4 linked regions of the Callithrix jacchus genome follow. The protein of the gene in region 2 interacts with the protein of the main gene of each other region in a pairwise test. Links are inferred from orthologs where the notes say so. Each region holds a gene or a part of one and is shown on either strand. Other genes may lie near its edges.

Evidence for each region.
Region 1: the proteins of PBX3 (region 2) and AGTRAP interact in a two-hybrid assay, tested with the Homo sapiens proteins (4 studies listed by BioGRID). The two-hybrid records come from large-scale screens. The link is inferred for Callithrix jacchus from reciprocal best matches to the Homo sapiens genes PBX3 and AGTRAP.
Region 3: the proteins of PBX3 (region 2) and MAL2 interact in a two-hybrid assay, tested with the Homo sapiens proteins (2 studies listed by BioGRID). The two-hybrid records come from large-scale screens. The link is inferred for Callithrix jacchus from reciprocal best matches to the Homo sapiens genes PBX3 and MAL2.
Region 4: the proteins of PBX3 (region 2) and RABAC1 interact in a two-hybrid assay, tested with the Homo sapiens proteins (2 studies listed by BioGRID). The two-hybrid records come from large-scale screens. The link is inferred for Callithrix jacchus from reciprocal best matches to the Homo sapiens genes PBX3 and RABAC1.

The regions. Positions count from the first base shown.
Region 1 is NC_133508.1:49,632,847-49,636,412, reverse strand, and holds part of AGTRAP (type-1 angiotensin II receptor-associated protein), read right to left. Parts: intron 2,799-3,566; coding exon 2,693-2,798; intron 1,546-2,692; coding exon 1,350-1,545; intron 1-1,349. UniProt on the Homo sapiens protein: Appears to be a negative regulator of type-1 angiotensin II receptor-mediated signaling by regulating receptor internalization as well as mechanism of receptor desensitization such as phosphorylation.
Region 2 is NC_133502.1:174,535,664-174,539,229, reverse strand, and holds part of PBX3 (pre-B-cell leukemia transcription factor 3), read right to left. Parts: intron 1,838-3,566; coding exon 1,647-1,837; intron 1-1,646. UniProt on the Homo sapiens protein: Transcriptional activator that binds the sequence 5'-ATCAATCAA-3'.
Region 3 is NC_133517.1:78,168,605-78,171,900, forward strand, and holds part of MAL2 (protein MAL2), read right to left. Parts: intron 2,208-3,296; coding exon 2,052-2,207; intron 93-2,051; coding exon 65-92; intron 1-64. UniProt on the Homo sapiens protein: Member of the machinery of polarized transport. Required for the indirect transcytotic route at the step of the egress of the transcytosing cargo from perinuclear endosomes in order for it to travel to the apical surface via a raft-dependent pathway.
Region 4 is NC_133523.1:36,983,738-36,988,064, forward strand, and holds RABAC1 (prenylated Rab acceptor protein 1), read right to left. Parts: upstream 2,821-4,327; 5' UTR 2,736-2,820; coding exon 2,680-2,735; intron 2,409-2,679; coding exon 2,196-2,408; intron 1,826-2,195; coding exon 1,728-1,825; intron 582-1,727; coding exon 480-581; intron 398-479; coding exon 309-397; 3' UTR 144-308; downstream 1-143. UniProt on the Homo sapiens protein: General Rab protein regulator required for vesicle formation from the Golgi complex. May control vesicle docking and fusion by mediating the action of Rab GTPases to the SNARE complexes.

The sequences.
Region 1 (3,566 bases), on a different chromosome or scaffold from region 2:
CATTCTGCTGAGTCCAAGGCAAGATCTACCCCTGCCACCCTGGGGCCAGGCATCCTGACACCACCACAGAGACAGAGGCAGCAGCCCCAGGCACTAAGCTTTTAGCGTGTATCATTCATTCAATCCTCCCGTACTCCTTGCAGCAGGTATCATCCCCACTTTACAGATGAGGAAACAGTGGGTCAAAGAGATGAACTGACTTGCTGAGATCACACAGCTCGAAGCGATGATGCTGCGACCCACGCCTAGGCAGCCAAGCCCAAAGCCAGGCTCCAGGCCACTGTGCCATGGGGTGGTTCCTCAGGCAGCAAGTGCTCAGGAACCTGGGCAGAGGGACACCAGCCCCGGGCCCACACACTCCTCTCCAGCTCCCCTCTCAGGCAGAAGGACACCACATTACTGTATCCAGATGGCCTTGGAGGCTGGGGCTGAGTCCAAGGCAGGACTGTAGCTCCAAACACCCCACACTCCTCACTCTCATCCCCTCCTCTGCACATTCATCCTGAGACCTTGAGCACGTCCCAAGGGCTGTGGGCCTCAGTTTCCTCATCTGTCCAATGGGAGATACATTCTGGCACCCCTTCCCTGGGGGCAGCCCCAGGCCATTCTTACCCTCGACCAGCTGGTGGCAGTCACAGGCCACCTGAGGCCTCTCTTCTCAGGAGTGAAAGGTAGAAGGCCACACCCCACAACCTCCCTCCACTCCTCTCAAAGAGAAAGGAGAGACAGAGGTGTCAGAGAGCAGGCAAACAGCTCGGCCACCAGCAGAAGGGGTACAGGAAAGGGCATGGGAGAGGGCGGGGTGAGGGTGAGGATGGGCGAGTGGGGAGGGATTGGTGGGTACGGGGAGTGCCCACAGTTCAGGGCCGTCTTCGCTGAGGCTCACACAGCCTACGCTAGAGCAGGCTCTCCTTTGGCTACCTAGCACAATCTCTGCCGCAGGAGAGGAAAGACCCCACGTGGCAGGAAATGGGGTTCCAGTGTTGGGGCCCGGTGAGAACAGAGAGGAGACCTGTAGGTGCCGGTGGCCCTCATGCTGGAGATAGCCCAGGGCTGCCCCTGGGAACTAAATGGTACCCCCAGCTGTGCCTGTGCTCTAGGCTGAGAGAAGGGCCTAGCCTTAGCCTCACAGCAGGAGAAGGTCGCAGCGGACCAGGACAGTCAGGGGACCCCTGGGCTCCTGCAGCAGAGACCAGGAGCTTGGACTCCTCCAGCCTGGTACAGAGTGCCCATGCCATGCTCTTCCTGCTGGCCCCATGGGGTAAGGCCAGCTCACTGGGGGAGAGCCTGGGGGCCAGGCAAGGGAGAGAAGGGAGTGGTGGGGAGCTGGCCAGAGGTGGTGGCCTCACCAGTGTGGACCAGGAGCTCACCCCCGCGCTCCCGGTACATGTGGTAGATGAAGCAGCAGGAGAGCGGCTTGAGCAGCAAGCTGAGGATGGCCATGCCCGCGCCGAAGCGGCCCGTGTCCGTGAGGTTTCCCCGCGGATAGAAGATGCTGATGTGTACGATGTCCAGGAAGATGGTGGCCAGCAAGCCACACAGAAACTGCAAGACACAGGCACTGATGAGCACAAGAGCCCTGCCGTGTCCCGTGGCTCCCCACCATGTACCAGATGCGAAGCTGTTTCATGCCCTACTGTGTCCTTGGGGCTTGCTGGAAAACTGAGCAAGCAAGCAGGCAGGACTCACAGGGGAGCGGCTGGCTGAGACTGCAGTCTAGGGGCAGGGACGCAGGGGGCTCAGGTCTCGGTTCCACAGAGCCTCCCTCCCTACCCATTTTCGATCACCTCTAAGACCATGATGGGCACAAGACTGGGCTCTAGAACCTCCATAAAGGAAGGTTCCTTGTTCACCCAGTCTGTCTCCAACACGAAGAAAATCCCTTCTCAGGGCCAGGCACGGTGGCTCATGCCTGTAATCCCAGCACTTTGGGAGGCTAAGGCAGGTAGATCATGAGGTCAGGAGTTCGAGACCAGCCTGGCCAATAAGGTGAAACCCTATCTCTACTAAAAATCCAAAAAATTAGCCGCACATGATGGCACATGCCTGTAGTCCCAGCTGCTTGGGAGGCTGAGGCAGGAGAATCACTGAACCTGGAAGGCAAAGGTTGTAGTGAGCTGAGATCGCACCACTGCAATCTAGCCTGGGCGACAGAGCAAGACTGTCTCAGAACAAAAAAAAAAAGAAAAAGGAAATCCCTTCTCACTCCTCAGTCACCCCGAGCCCTGGCCAAGGCTTGAAGAGCCGGTGCAGGGGGTGCACGCTGCCCCACGGGGCTTGGTGGGTGCTAAGAAGCTTCCCCTGTGGGAAGTTTCGGTCGGCCTGGGTCACCTCTCCTTCCTAAAGTAGTGGCGTGCCCCCTTGGCTGGGTCTCCATGTCCTCTCCCCTAAAAGAGAGCCCCAGAGGCAGGTTATAGGGAATGCTCCATTGCTCTTGCAGAGAAGCCAATCTGGGGCACCCCTTGGCTTTCCTGGGGGAGATAATGGCAGACCTGGGCTTCTCTAAGCCAGGCAAGAAGAGTAGCATGCTCGCTCCCAAAGACAGGCATGGGCTGACACCCGGGAGGCTGAAGAAAAAGGCTTTAGACAACAGGCAGTGGTGGCCCCAGGAAGAGAAGGAAGATTGGGATGGGACAGGGAGGCAGAGCCAGGCCGTGTGTCGCCCTGTGCTTCGGCCCCCGCCCTGGCTCACCATGCTTATGGCGTCGATGGAGTCCCGCTGAGCCACAGCCCACACGCCCAAGGCCAGGATGGTGAAGTTGGCCCAGGCATAGGAGCCCGAGAACACGATGCAGCCCCTGTCAAAGAAGCAGCTTAGTCCCATCAGGTGGCCACCAACCCGCAGGTCACCTCCCTCCTGTGCCAGGGGTCTCAGGGCCTCCTCCCAGAACAGACCTTAGTCTTTGAGGCCACCTGGCTATGTGCCAGCAAATCCCATGGGCTCGCCTCCCACCCAGACCCTGGATCTGGCTGTGTCCCTGCAGGTCCCAAGCACCTCCGTCTCCTGCCAGATGACAGCCTCCTGACTGCCACTCTGTTCTCTAAATAGCAACTGGTAGTGTAGTCAGATGCTGTCAATCCTCTGCTAAAAATCCTCCAACAGTTTTCCATCCCATTTGGAATAAAATGCAGACTCTTCACCAGGGCTTAAGGGGCCCGTGGGACCCCGGGCCCAGCCCCGCCCTCCCTGACCTCCCAGCCACAGCCCCGTACAGTGGGCGCCCTCTACTCTGACACTTGGCCCCCCTTTTGTCATTGAGCAGCAGCTTGAATGTTCACTCTGAGACTCCTTCCCTCACCCACCAATGCTAAGTACGACCTCGTCACTTTCCTAACACAAGGCCCACCCTATTCTACCATTTAGGGTATTGCCTAACTGACATTGTTGATTTGTTCACTTGTCAATCCAATCAAAATCATAGTGAACACAGAGCACTTGCTAGTACCTGGCATGGTTCTAACTATTATTTATTTATTTTTGACGGAGTTTCGCTCTGTCAGCCAGGCTGGAGTGCAGTGGCAAAATCTTGGCTCACTACAACGTTGCTCTGCCTCCTGGGTTCAAG
Region 2 (3,566 bases):
TATTCCTCATCCTTTTATTCCATATATTTTCCAAATTTTCCATAGTGAGCTTGGTATTTTTCAAATAGAAAAAAGACTAATAAAATCTTCACAACAACGAAGAAGTAATGCAGACAGGGACAGGCCCTAAATATCAAGTTAAGGAGTATATATGTGAGTATGCATGTAAAAGCATTGGAAAGCTACTATGGTTTTTAAGCAAAGCAATCAGGCTAGCACAGTAATGTTACAGAAACAGACGAGATATGGAGGATGGGCTGGAGAGCAGTAGGACTGGAGTCAGGAAGACTAGTAGGTACTGTGCTAGTCCTTGTACAAAAGGATGGACAGGAACTGAGATGGAAAGAGAGATAAAGTGAAAAAGACCGAAAAGGAAGCAACAGTGAGTTCTAGTGACTAATTTGATATGGAAGAAGAGAGAACCAAAGATGATATCAAGTTTTGGTTAACTAGGAAAATGGTGATATAATGTTTTCTTATTTGGCTCTAAGGAAGAGCTCTGGCATGAAGACTGCTCCACACACTTTGTTTTCCAGTCAAGAAGCTATCTTAGTTATTTCCTTTAATATTGTGAAATTTGGATGATAATTATCACCTCTGTCAGATTCCATGGGAAAAGAAAGAAAAATAAAATAGAAACTCCTTTCCAAAGCTGCAGATTGATCATAAGCTTTAGCAATGCCTGAGAGGCATCCCTACAGAGGCAGCATATACTAGGACATTGACAATTCTTCTGTTCTGTCACTCAGTAGGTCACTATATACAATTTGTTACCACATACAATGCATTACCTAATTCCTATGAAACTTGGGAAAAGCTTCAGATAAAGGAAAATTTTCATCCTTACAGGAAAAATGATAGGCTTTCTTTCTTGATTTAAAAATACAGACTCTGGAGTTTTGTGGTAACTGCTATTAACTGAAACGCCACTTCCTTCTTAGGAGTACCAGTATCTCCAAGTATTTTCCCATTATATGCACAATCAGTGTAACATTAAGAAATTCTTAGAAAATACCCTTTGTGCTGGGATCACACCTGTAATCCCAGCACTTTGGGAGGCCGAAGCAGACAGATCAAGGTCAAGAGTTCAAGACCAGTCTGGCCAACATAGGGGAACTCCATCTCTACTAAAAATACAAAAATAATTAGCTGGGTGTGGTGGTGGGCACCTGTAGTCCCAGCTCCTTGAAGGCCGAGGCGGGAGAATTGCCTGAACATGGGTGGAGGAGGTTGCAGTGAGCAGAGATCACGCCACTGCACTCCAGCCTGGATGACACAGTGAGAGTCTGTCTCAAAGAAAAAAAAAATACCCTTTGTTAAAATAGTTATATGCAGAAAATTATCCTTAAAAAATACCTTTTAGCATCAGAATGGAAAGGCTACATATTCCTAAAGTCATTAGCAGAGATGCTAATCCTATTTATTTCCTGAGACACTAAATTGGCAGCTAACCCACACTACCATTCCCAGACAGGAAAAAGCTTGACAGCACAGGCACCATGAGTTGAATTACCTGTCCATTGTACAAAAGAGCTCATATGGCCAAATTAAAGAAGAATCTAAGATCTGGCCAGTTTTACAGAAAATAATATACAAGGAGTGAAAGACGGGGGAAAGCCATGCAATAGATTTGTGACTTCACATACCTGGCATCAAGGAACCTTGATCTTAAAATCATAACTGCTTCACAAGTGCTTTGTTTGAGCTGCATCTGAATGGAACTAAATTTTCGATGGATGATGCCCACCATTCTTTCAATCTCTTTGGGGGAAATGGGACGTGTTCTACTCTGTTCTCGGAGAAGGTTCATCACATGTGTAGTGAATTCATTACATGCCTGTAATGGGGGGAAAAAAATCACTCCTTTGGAAATGGATATTTTATATTATCACACCAAGACATTAACTCATCTGAATTTACACCTCATTTGCAATCATCAATAGTATTATACAGTGTATAAGGCAAAATGAAAACTAAGATACTTGTTAAATGGTAGTAGTAGTTAAAACAGCAAGAATTCTGAAACCATGCATAGTCGGATGTGCAAGGGAGACACAGCACTCAACCACTCTTCCCACCCATCCCTGTCCAGTTCCAAAATGAGATTTTCCCATTCGAGGGTGCTCAAATTCCCATATATAAGTAAAAATATATGTTAATTGTTAATAATAAGTACCACCTATTTTCTCTGGGGTTTTACATTTATTCAACAGAAGCTTACTGAACAACTACAAAGTTCAAACTCTTGCCAGTGCTGTAAGGAACACAGAAATGAATAAGATGCAGGCCTGGCCTTTGGTGAGAAAAATACATGAAAAACTAATTCAGTGCAAAGACTAATAGGAAGATATTAATAGGTTCTAAGGAAGGAATATTCTCATCTGTAGGCTTCATGGATTGAGCTTTAAAGAACAGGTAGCATCTTTGAAAGATGGATAAAGATGGAAGTCAGGAGGAATCCCAGGCACCAGAAATAACAGTATATTGCAAGTTCAGAGTCCGGCAAGTAGGAATACAGAGAATATGTAAAGAAGCAAAAGGGATTCAGGTTTGAATTAGCACATAAAGGGCCTTGCATGTCAAGCATTACAATGACCTATTATAATTCAGCTGTAGTGCAGGCCCTTAGTGGATATAAGCCATCTCTGTAAAGCAGCTCAACTCTTCAAGGGACATCCAACAGAAATAAGGATTAGATTTGGGTCTCAAACTTTTCAGTTAACAATCCTCAGACATTGTCTCTTTTAATACACATACACATACATATATTTGTTTCTCCTAAAATTCAGGGTCTCACTCTGTCACCCAGACTATAGTGCAGTGGTGTGCTCATAGTTCATTGCAGCCTCAAGATCCTGGGCTCAAGCAATCCTCCCATCTCAGCCTTCCAAGTAGCAGTTACCACAGGCATGTGCCACCATACCCAGCTAATTTTTAAATCTGTTTTAGAGTTGAGGTCTTGCTATGTTGCTCAGACTAGTCTCAAACTCTTGGCCTAAAGCAATCCTCCCACCTCAGCCTCCTGAGCTGCTAGGATTACAAGTGCGTGCCACTGCATCCAACTTCATCTATATTCTCTTTGATTTATAAATCTGTGTAACTGGATGTACACTGAAATCCAGTACTGCCCTGGTAAATAAAGCATCAGTTTATACTCTTAAAGAAAAATAATCTCTTCTGACATTTTCCTTAAAAATGCAGGATGGGAAATTTTGCATCTTACTGCACGGGTGCCCCTCGAAGAGTGAGCAGACAGAACAATTCATTTATCAATGCAAGACACATTTTGAAGTTATAATAATGTCCACTTCCCTACAGATATCCTGAACATTGCTCACATATAGCACATGATGGTTTTTCTAACTGCTCATTAGAGGACTAACCTTTCCTGTACATTGAGTATTTTACTTACTCTAAGCTTTTACAGAGCTTTCCATAAATATTTCTAACGTTAGGTAAAATGAGTCTTGCTTATCAAGTTTTTTCAAAAAATATGTTTTAAGCCATAGGAAATATTAAATTCCTTGTGAGTGGTGACACTATATTATACTTATGGGATTCTTCAG
Region 3 (3,296 bases), on a different chromosome or scaffold from region 2:
ACACCAACTGTGTGTATATTACTACATTTGGTACATATAAGCAAAGAGTAGATAATGTCCTCACCCTTTTGGGGTTTATGATCCATAGAAGACTAAAAGACAAAGCAAAAGCAGTTCAACATGATAAATATTATGGTTTAGCACAAGGGTTCTTAACGAGGAAACTATAGCTCTGGGAAGCAATACTGGATTCACCTATAGATCATTTTCACAGTTTAATTGCTTTTCTGCTATTCTTTCCACCCTTCTTCTGCTGATTGATTCTCTGACAATTTCTAATCTAGACATTGTTTTCTAAATGACAGCAATAGCTTTTGATACATGTATTAGGGAAAAGGAATTTGCCTCCCAATCTGATGTCCCATGGATGGGACATTTCAAAGCTAAAACCATGACTCTTTGTTGTAATCCCACCTTCAGCCTAATTCATTGTAGGCACTCAATAAATTTTGACAAATCCTATCAGAGACTTGGGAAACTTATAATGGGTCTTGAAATCATTTGTCTTCTACACCTCAAAATTCAGACTCTAGAATGGTATTTATTGTCTGATAGCCACTAGCCACATGTGGTTAAAATAATACTAAAACTTCAGTTCCTTCATCATGCTGGTGTGCAGAGGTGTGCTCCCGGCTCACTACAACCTCCGCCTCCTGCGCTAAAGAGATTTTCTTACCTCAGCCTCCCAAACAGGTAGCACTGCAGGCACAAGCCACCAGGCCTGGCCAATTCTTGATTCTTTTTTTTCCCCACTTTGAGAGACAGGGTCTTGCTATGTTGACCAGGCTGCTCCAGAAATCCTGGCCTCAAGCAGTCCCCTTCCACCTCGGTCTACCAAAGTGCTGGGATCACAGGCATGAGCCATGACTCTTTGGCTTACTTTTCAATTGCTCAACAGCCACATGAGCCTAGTGGCCAACATATTGGACAGCACTTACAAAAAAAGAAAGTTCTACTAGACAGTGCTGCTCCAGACAGATTTCAATGCCTATATGGGGAGTACTGGGTTATTTACAGGCTACCTGGGAAACATAATAAAACATTAGGGTCACTAATTTGCCATATATTTATATTAAATATCACACTATTTCAGAAAATTTGGACTTCTAGCATCTTAAAAGTGATCTTTAACAACAAAAATAATACATTAGTTCTTCAAATTATTATCTATACAATACAAAATGACAAATTCACTCCAGTATGTGAATTAAAGATGATTTAAAAATTTATAAATGCCCCAAGGAATGCATTTCATCTGCCTACCATCTACTGCAATGGCTGGCATAGTTGCCTCCCTTCCTCACCTGCACTTCCCTGAATGGCAACAACTGCAGCTTATCCACCCCATCCTCAACAGCCAGCAAAATTACTTGATATATGGTAGGCCCACAGTATCTATTCATTGAATAAAATTAACGTGCAAACAGCTATTGAATACTAAAGAACCAAACTGGGAAATATCCCTTACCATGTCTGAAAGTTATAAGAAGCAAAAACACAGTTCTTTTTGCAGACCCCTCAAAACTCAGACTCCAGACCTTTATTGTCTAATATGATAGCCACTAGTCACATGTGGTTAAAATTATTAAAATAATATTAAAAATACAGTTCCTTAGTCATACTGGTTACTCCCCATTCCCCCCCATCCCTCGACCGAGTCTTGGTCTGTCACTCAGACTGGAGTGCAGTGGTGTGGTCTCAGCTCACTGCAACCTCCGCCTCCTTGGGCTCAGGAGATTTTCTCACCTTAGCCTCCCAAACAGGTGGCACTACAGGCACAACACACCAGGCCTAGCCAATTCTTAATGAGAGACGGTGGCTTGCTGTGGTCTTATGTGAACATCAACCTCTTTATGCTTCAGTTTAATCACCTGCAACCCTGTGAGCAAAGTGATCATGGCACTTTGCTCACAGGGTTACTGTACAGATAACAGCTATGATATATTTAACATTAACGGCTAGTATTAAAGAGTACTGTTGCCTGAAGAGTTTCTTGGAGGCCTTGACAGTGGAGCGGAAGTGCTGGTGAACAGTACTCATTGAGTACTTACTGTGGCTGCTACATTTATGTTATACTGGTTATCACTCAGGAGCGGCTGCAGGGTCATGGTTGTATTGCAATGCAAATCGTGCAGGGATGTGGCTGCTGCTTCCAATAAAAAGGCTCCAAAATAGAAGACAAACACTGTGAAATGGTAGGCAAAATCCTAAAAGAGGAGAGAAAAGACATCTGCAATTAATAAGACATTTTCCATTCTGTATTTCAAATGAAGGCTAGGTTTAGCAAGATCAAAACATTTAATTAAACCATCTTAATTACCTTCTCTGTGTATCTTGGCCTGACGTTTCTATAGCAACTATTAGAATCCAAGTGAAAATCAACCCATTTTAACTGGCACATTGGTAAATTGGCAAACCTTTCCATAGACTGAATTTTATAATTATATAATATTTTAATTTGGATTAAGATGCCCATAGAGATCAATGTTAATTAGGATAATATAAAAAAGCCATACATATGCTGTCTTTAAAATTCAAGTAAAGTAGCATTTAAATAACATTATTATATGTATTCATATAAATTATATAAACTATTTTTGACCAGTTATTATCATTAGAGATTTTCCATTGAAAATACAGAAGACTAATTAAATATATAATTCAATAACATATATCCATGTTTGTTTCATTAAAAACTAACATGTTATATACTTCCACAAGAAGTATAAGACCTCATTTGTTAGGCTTCTTTGTTGCTGACATTCAGCGAAGCATTAACACTGTTATAGTTCATGTGGTCTTACCTGAATTAATGTATCAACACATTACTGTTTGTAACAGTTCCCACATATCAGATACCTTATGTGCATTATTGCTCAACCTTATAACCACCATTAATTATCTCCATTAAATAAATAATTTCTTTTCAGTTAAATGACTGTTTAAAGCCATGTAAATATTAATTTTAGGAGGGAGAAAAACCTGTAGTGTGTCTGGTCCCAAAGTTCAGTTTATTTTTTTTAAATTATTTTACTTGACAAAAATCATATTTATTGTATACATGTTTTGAAATATTTATACATTGTGGGATGGCTAAATAAAGCATATACATATATCTTCCCATAATTCTTTTTTTTGTGGTGAGAACATTTAAAATATATTCTTTTAGCATTTTTCAAGAATATAATACACTGTTACTAACTATAGTCATCATGCTACACAATAGATCTCTTGAACTTATTTCTCCTAACTGAAATTTGTATCCTTTGACCAACATTTTCCACAGTCCCCCATCA
Region 4 (4,327 bases), on a different chromosome or scaffold from region 2:
CTCACCACCATTGGACATCCCATAATATTTTACCTGTTTACCTTGTTGATCGTCTTGCCACACCCCAGGCTCCACGCCAACCCTGGTCTCTACACTATTTCCAGCATCATCCACAGAGACCCACAGAAGATGCTGGGGGAGTATTTGCTGAATGACACCTGTAACAGCTTTATTTTCAAAGGCAGATTCCCTCCCCGGACTTGTGATGGGGCAGCACTGTAGGCCCAAGCAGCAGCAGACCTGTGCAGGACAGGGATGGGTAGGGGTGGGGTGGCTGGCTGGGGAGGCCAGCAGGTCCCAGCAGCACCTCACACGGGTTCCATCTGCAGCTCCTCCCCGTCCATAGCCTCAATCTGGTGGAAGGCAGCATGGGAGCCGATGACTACCAGGGTGGCTCCTGCAGGAAAGCCGGCAGCTCAGGGCCACACTCCTGTGCCTGGCCCCACCATCCACCCCAGCCGCTCAGACCCTGTACTCACCCAGCACCCAGAAGACGGCCGAGCCAGCACCAGCCAGCCAGAAGAAGGGGAAGGATATGCCTCCAGCCAGAGCGTACTGATGGGCTGGGCTCACCTCTCGGCCTGGGGGCAGACGGCATTGGGGCGCTGTTCCCACCCTCCGTGCCCTCTCCCAGAGTAACCCCTGCTGTCCCCCAACAATCTATACAAGCTCCAGGACCTTGGGATTGAATCCAAACTCCTCTGCCAAGGCCCTCCAGTCCTGGGGTCACCCTGTTCCCCTGCTGTCCCAACTCCCCTCCAGAACACAGCACACCATCCTCACCTGCCTCAGCCCCACCCTCTGCCCTCTGGTCCACATCCTCTAGAAAGCTCCTGGGATCCCAGCTTCCTGCTCCCCAGACTACTCTGCTCTCCTGCTGCAACCCTCACGCAGACCAGGGGTCTCAAACTGGTGGTCCGGGGGCCAAATCTGACTGGTGGATGTGTTTTTTGAGATGTTTTGCAAGAATGTGATTTGTGGCTGGCAAAGTGAATGATTTCACATAAAAATACCAACTTCAGGCTTCTCACAGAAGTCTGGGAAATGGGGTCTGCATGCTGGTGACGGCGATGAGCTGAAGCCAAGTTGTGGCTGTGCTTCAGGTGCTCCCTCTACCCGACCCTCCTCCGCCCCAGCCTGTCATGCACATAACTTGCCGCAGGTCTACCTGACCATCCCATCCCAACTGTCCAACCTTACTCCAAACCTTGATTTTCCCCTGGGGGGATTTTTCCTGGCATTTTGTTTTCCCAGTGGTCCTTGGTACTAGTCTGGGAACCACATGAAACATACTCCTCAGTTTTCCTCTCTAAGTCCCAAGGTCTTTCTGGTCACATCCCAGAAAGCCAGAAAAGGGACGGGAACAAATCTAGACCGTGTAAGGTTGCCACCTGGTGTCCAGTGTGGGCACCTGCAGCTGATGCTTGCCGCAAAGAGCAGCGAGGGGAGGAGGGAGAGGGAAGGAGTCACGTGATTTGGAGAGAAGTAGGTTGAAGGCACAGCTGACAGGTGGAATCTGGGTTTGAGGAATTGCAATTTAGGGGGCCGAGATTCGGTGGGAGCATCTGTTTTGAGATGTTAAGGGATCAGGTTTGGGGGACCTAGTCTACATCTAGGCTTGGGCGGACTTGGGTTTTGAAGGACTTGGGTTTGGGCTCTGAGGTCTGTAATTCCAAGAGACCAGGATGTGAGGGACCAAGGATTCATATGGGCAGGGGATTTCTCACCAAAGAGCACAAGCTTGGACTGCAAGGTGCGCAGATAGAGAATGTAACAGGCGCCGAAAAAGACAGCCAGAGCCACCAGCAACATAGGGGATGTCACCCTGGAGGAGGAGTGCAGGGAGGCAGCAGTCAGGCAGCTGGGGCTAGGCCAGCCAGGGAGCCCTGGCCTTCTCCACCAGTGTGCGGCAAGCTACATCCTGGAGACCAGGGAGAGCCAGGTGACATTTAGTCACCCCGCATCCTGGCCAGGGTGATGGTGGAGTAGTGACCTGGCCCTTTGGTGACAAGGTAGGTCTAGCAGAGCCAACCCTTGGGGGCGGGGCCTGGCCGGTGAGAGGAGGGGCCTGGCCGGTGGGGGCGGGGCCTGGCCGGTGAGAGGAAGAACCGGAGGTGGCAGCGGGGCCTGAACCAGGAGAGGAGGGGTCTAGCCGGGGAGGGAGAGTGCAGATGTGGGGCCCGGAAGGCACTCACACGCAGTACAGGATAAGGCCCAAGAACACGAACACATAGTTGCTCTGGTAGTGCTCCACGTTGCGTACGAGGCGCTGGCACAGCTCGCCCAGGTTGCGGGGCCGTGAGAAGCGCTGCTGGTCCACGAAGGTCCCCCAGGGCCGGATGGTCGCCCGGCGCCGCTCCAGCCACTCCCGTCCTGCACCAGAGGGGATCAGCTTCGGCAGCAGGGTCCTGCGCGGGGCGGGGCCGGGTCAGTGGTGGACCGGAATGGAGGCCCAGATCCCCATAAGGGGCTAAGCCTGGACTCCCTCCCGGAACCCCAGACTCCTGGCCCATAGAGGGAAAGGGGGCTAAGGGCTCAGACTCCAGGGTCCCAGAAGAGGAGATCGGGGACCAAGACTTTGGCGTCTCGGGGCTGGGACTCCGGGCACTCAAGGGAGGAGAGGGTAGGGGGCCGGGACTCCGGGTGTCGGGTCCAAAGGGCTAGAGCCGGCTTGCTCACGTGGCGCTCAGCCCTTCTGCCTCGGCATCCTTCTGCTGGTCCTTCGGGGCTGCCATGTCTGCGTCGTGAGGGGTAGAGCTGCGGTAACTAGCCCGGTACCCTGCAGACCCTGCCGGCACCGCCTGAGTCCGGCCCCACCCTGCGGAGCCGACGTGGCGCCGCTCCGGAGCAGCTGGGGACGGTAGTTCTGTCGCCAGGCACTGTGGGAGTTGTAGTCTTAACGGTGGCTGGGAGGGTGGGCGCTATGATGGCGGCCTGACTCGCAGGACACTTTGGAAGATACAATCCCAGAAAGTGACGACGCGCGCCTCTGGGCATTGTGGGAGTTGTAGTTTTGGGAGGGCACAGGTGCGCTGTCAGGAGCGAGGGCGTTAAGGGAGCTCTAATGGCAGAAGCGGGCGTGTGTACTCTCCCGGGGAGGGCACAGTGGAGACCGTGCCGAGCTGTCGTTCTGACTCTAGAGGGCATAAAAAAACACCTGGAGGGCTTGCTAAAACACAGAATCCTGAGCCCCAGCCCAGATGTTCTCATTCAGCAAGTCTGGGGTGGAACCCATAATTTGCATTTCTGAGTTCCCAGGTGATGCTGATGCGGCTTGTCCATGGACCACATATTGAGTAGAAAGATTTAGATAATTTGTGGGAATTGATTTTTTCCTCAAGAGATTGAGGCTAGTGAGGGGGCCATGGTTGCTGGAAGGGTATCTGAGGTTGGCCCCTACCCCACCTCGTGGAGTCCCAAAGATGAATGAGTTGGGGCTAGGGACACCCCCCGTCGTCCCCCCCCCCACCATACACCTTTGGACAGGAGGAAGTGAAGTTGGGAAAGAGAAAGTATTGAGAAGTTTTAAAAGTGGGAGGTGTTATACCTAAAAGAGCTGTGATTCTGGATTCAGACTCAGGAGAAAATCCAGGCTGTGTGGCTGTGATCTAGTCACCTCCTTGAACTTCAGTATCTTCATCTGAACAGCGGGGATCCTAATGGTACCAGCTCACAGGGTTATGATGATTCAGTTAAATCCATGTGAAGTGCTTGAAAGACTCTAATTTTTAAAGAGACTTTATAATTGCTCAATAAATGATAGTCATTGTTATTGCCACTATATTATCCCAGATGTTATGATTATAATTTCTAGAGTTCAGCCTCCTGAAATTTAATAGGAACATGTTAGGGGCTGCTGGCCTTTTGGATGTCCCCAAAGATGGCTAGTGTCTGAGGCATGGGCCTTTCTTTTCCCTGGTTCTCCTAGCCATGGTTCTTTCTCAGTCTTTAAACAGATTCCTCTGTGGCCTGCCCCTGCCGTGAGTGGAATTGTAGGAAAACGGGGCTGGAATTCTAATGGAGGTGCACCAGAATAGGGCCTCAAGAAATGTGTGTTCAAGTATGGGGAAGCCTGGGCTCCCTTAAGCAGACTGAGATTCTAATTTTCCAAAGCAGCTGGGTGGGGCTGGAAGGAGAATATCTACATGGGCTATCCAGGTGAACTTTTTAAAAAAAAATTATTTATTGGCCGGCCGTGGTGGCTCACGCCTGTAATCCAAGCACTTTGGAAGCCAAGACAGGTGGATCACCTGAGGTCGGGAGTTCAAGACCAGTCTGACCAACATGGTGAAACCCTGTCTTTATAAAAAAATTATTTATTTAAGTA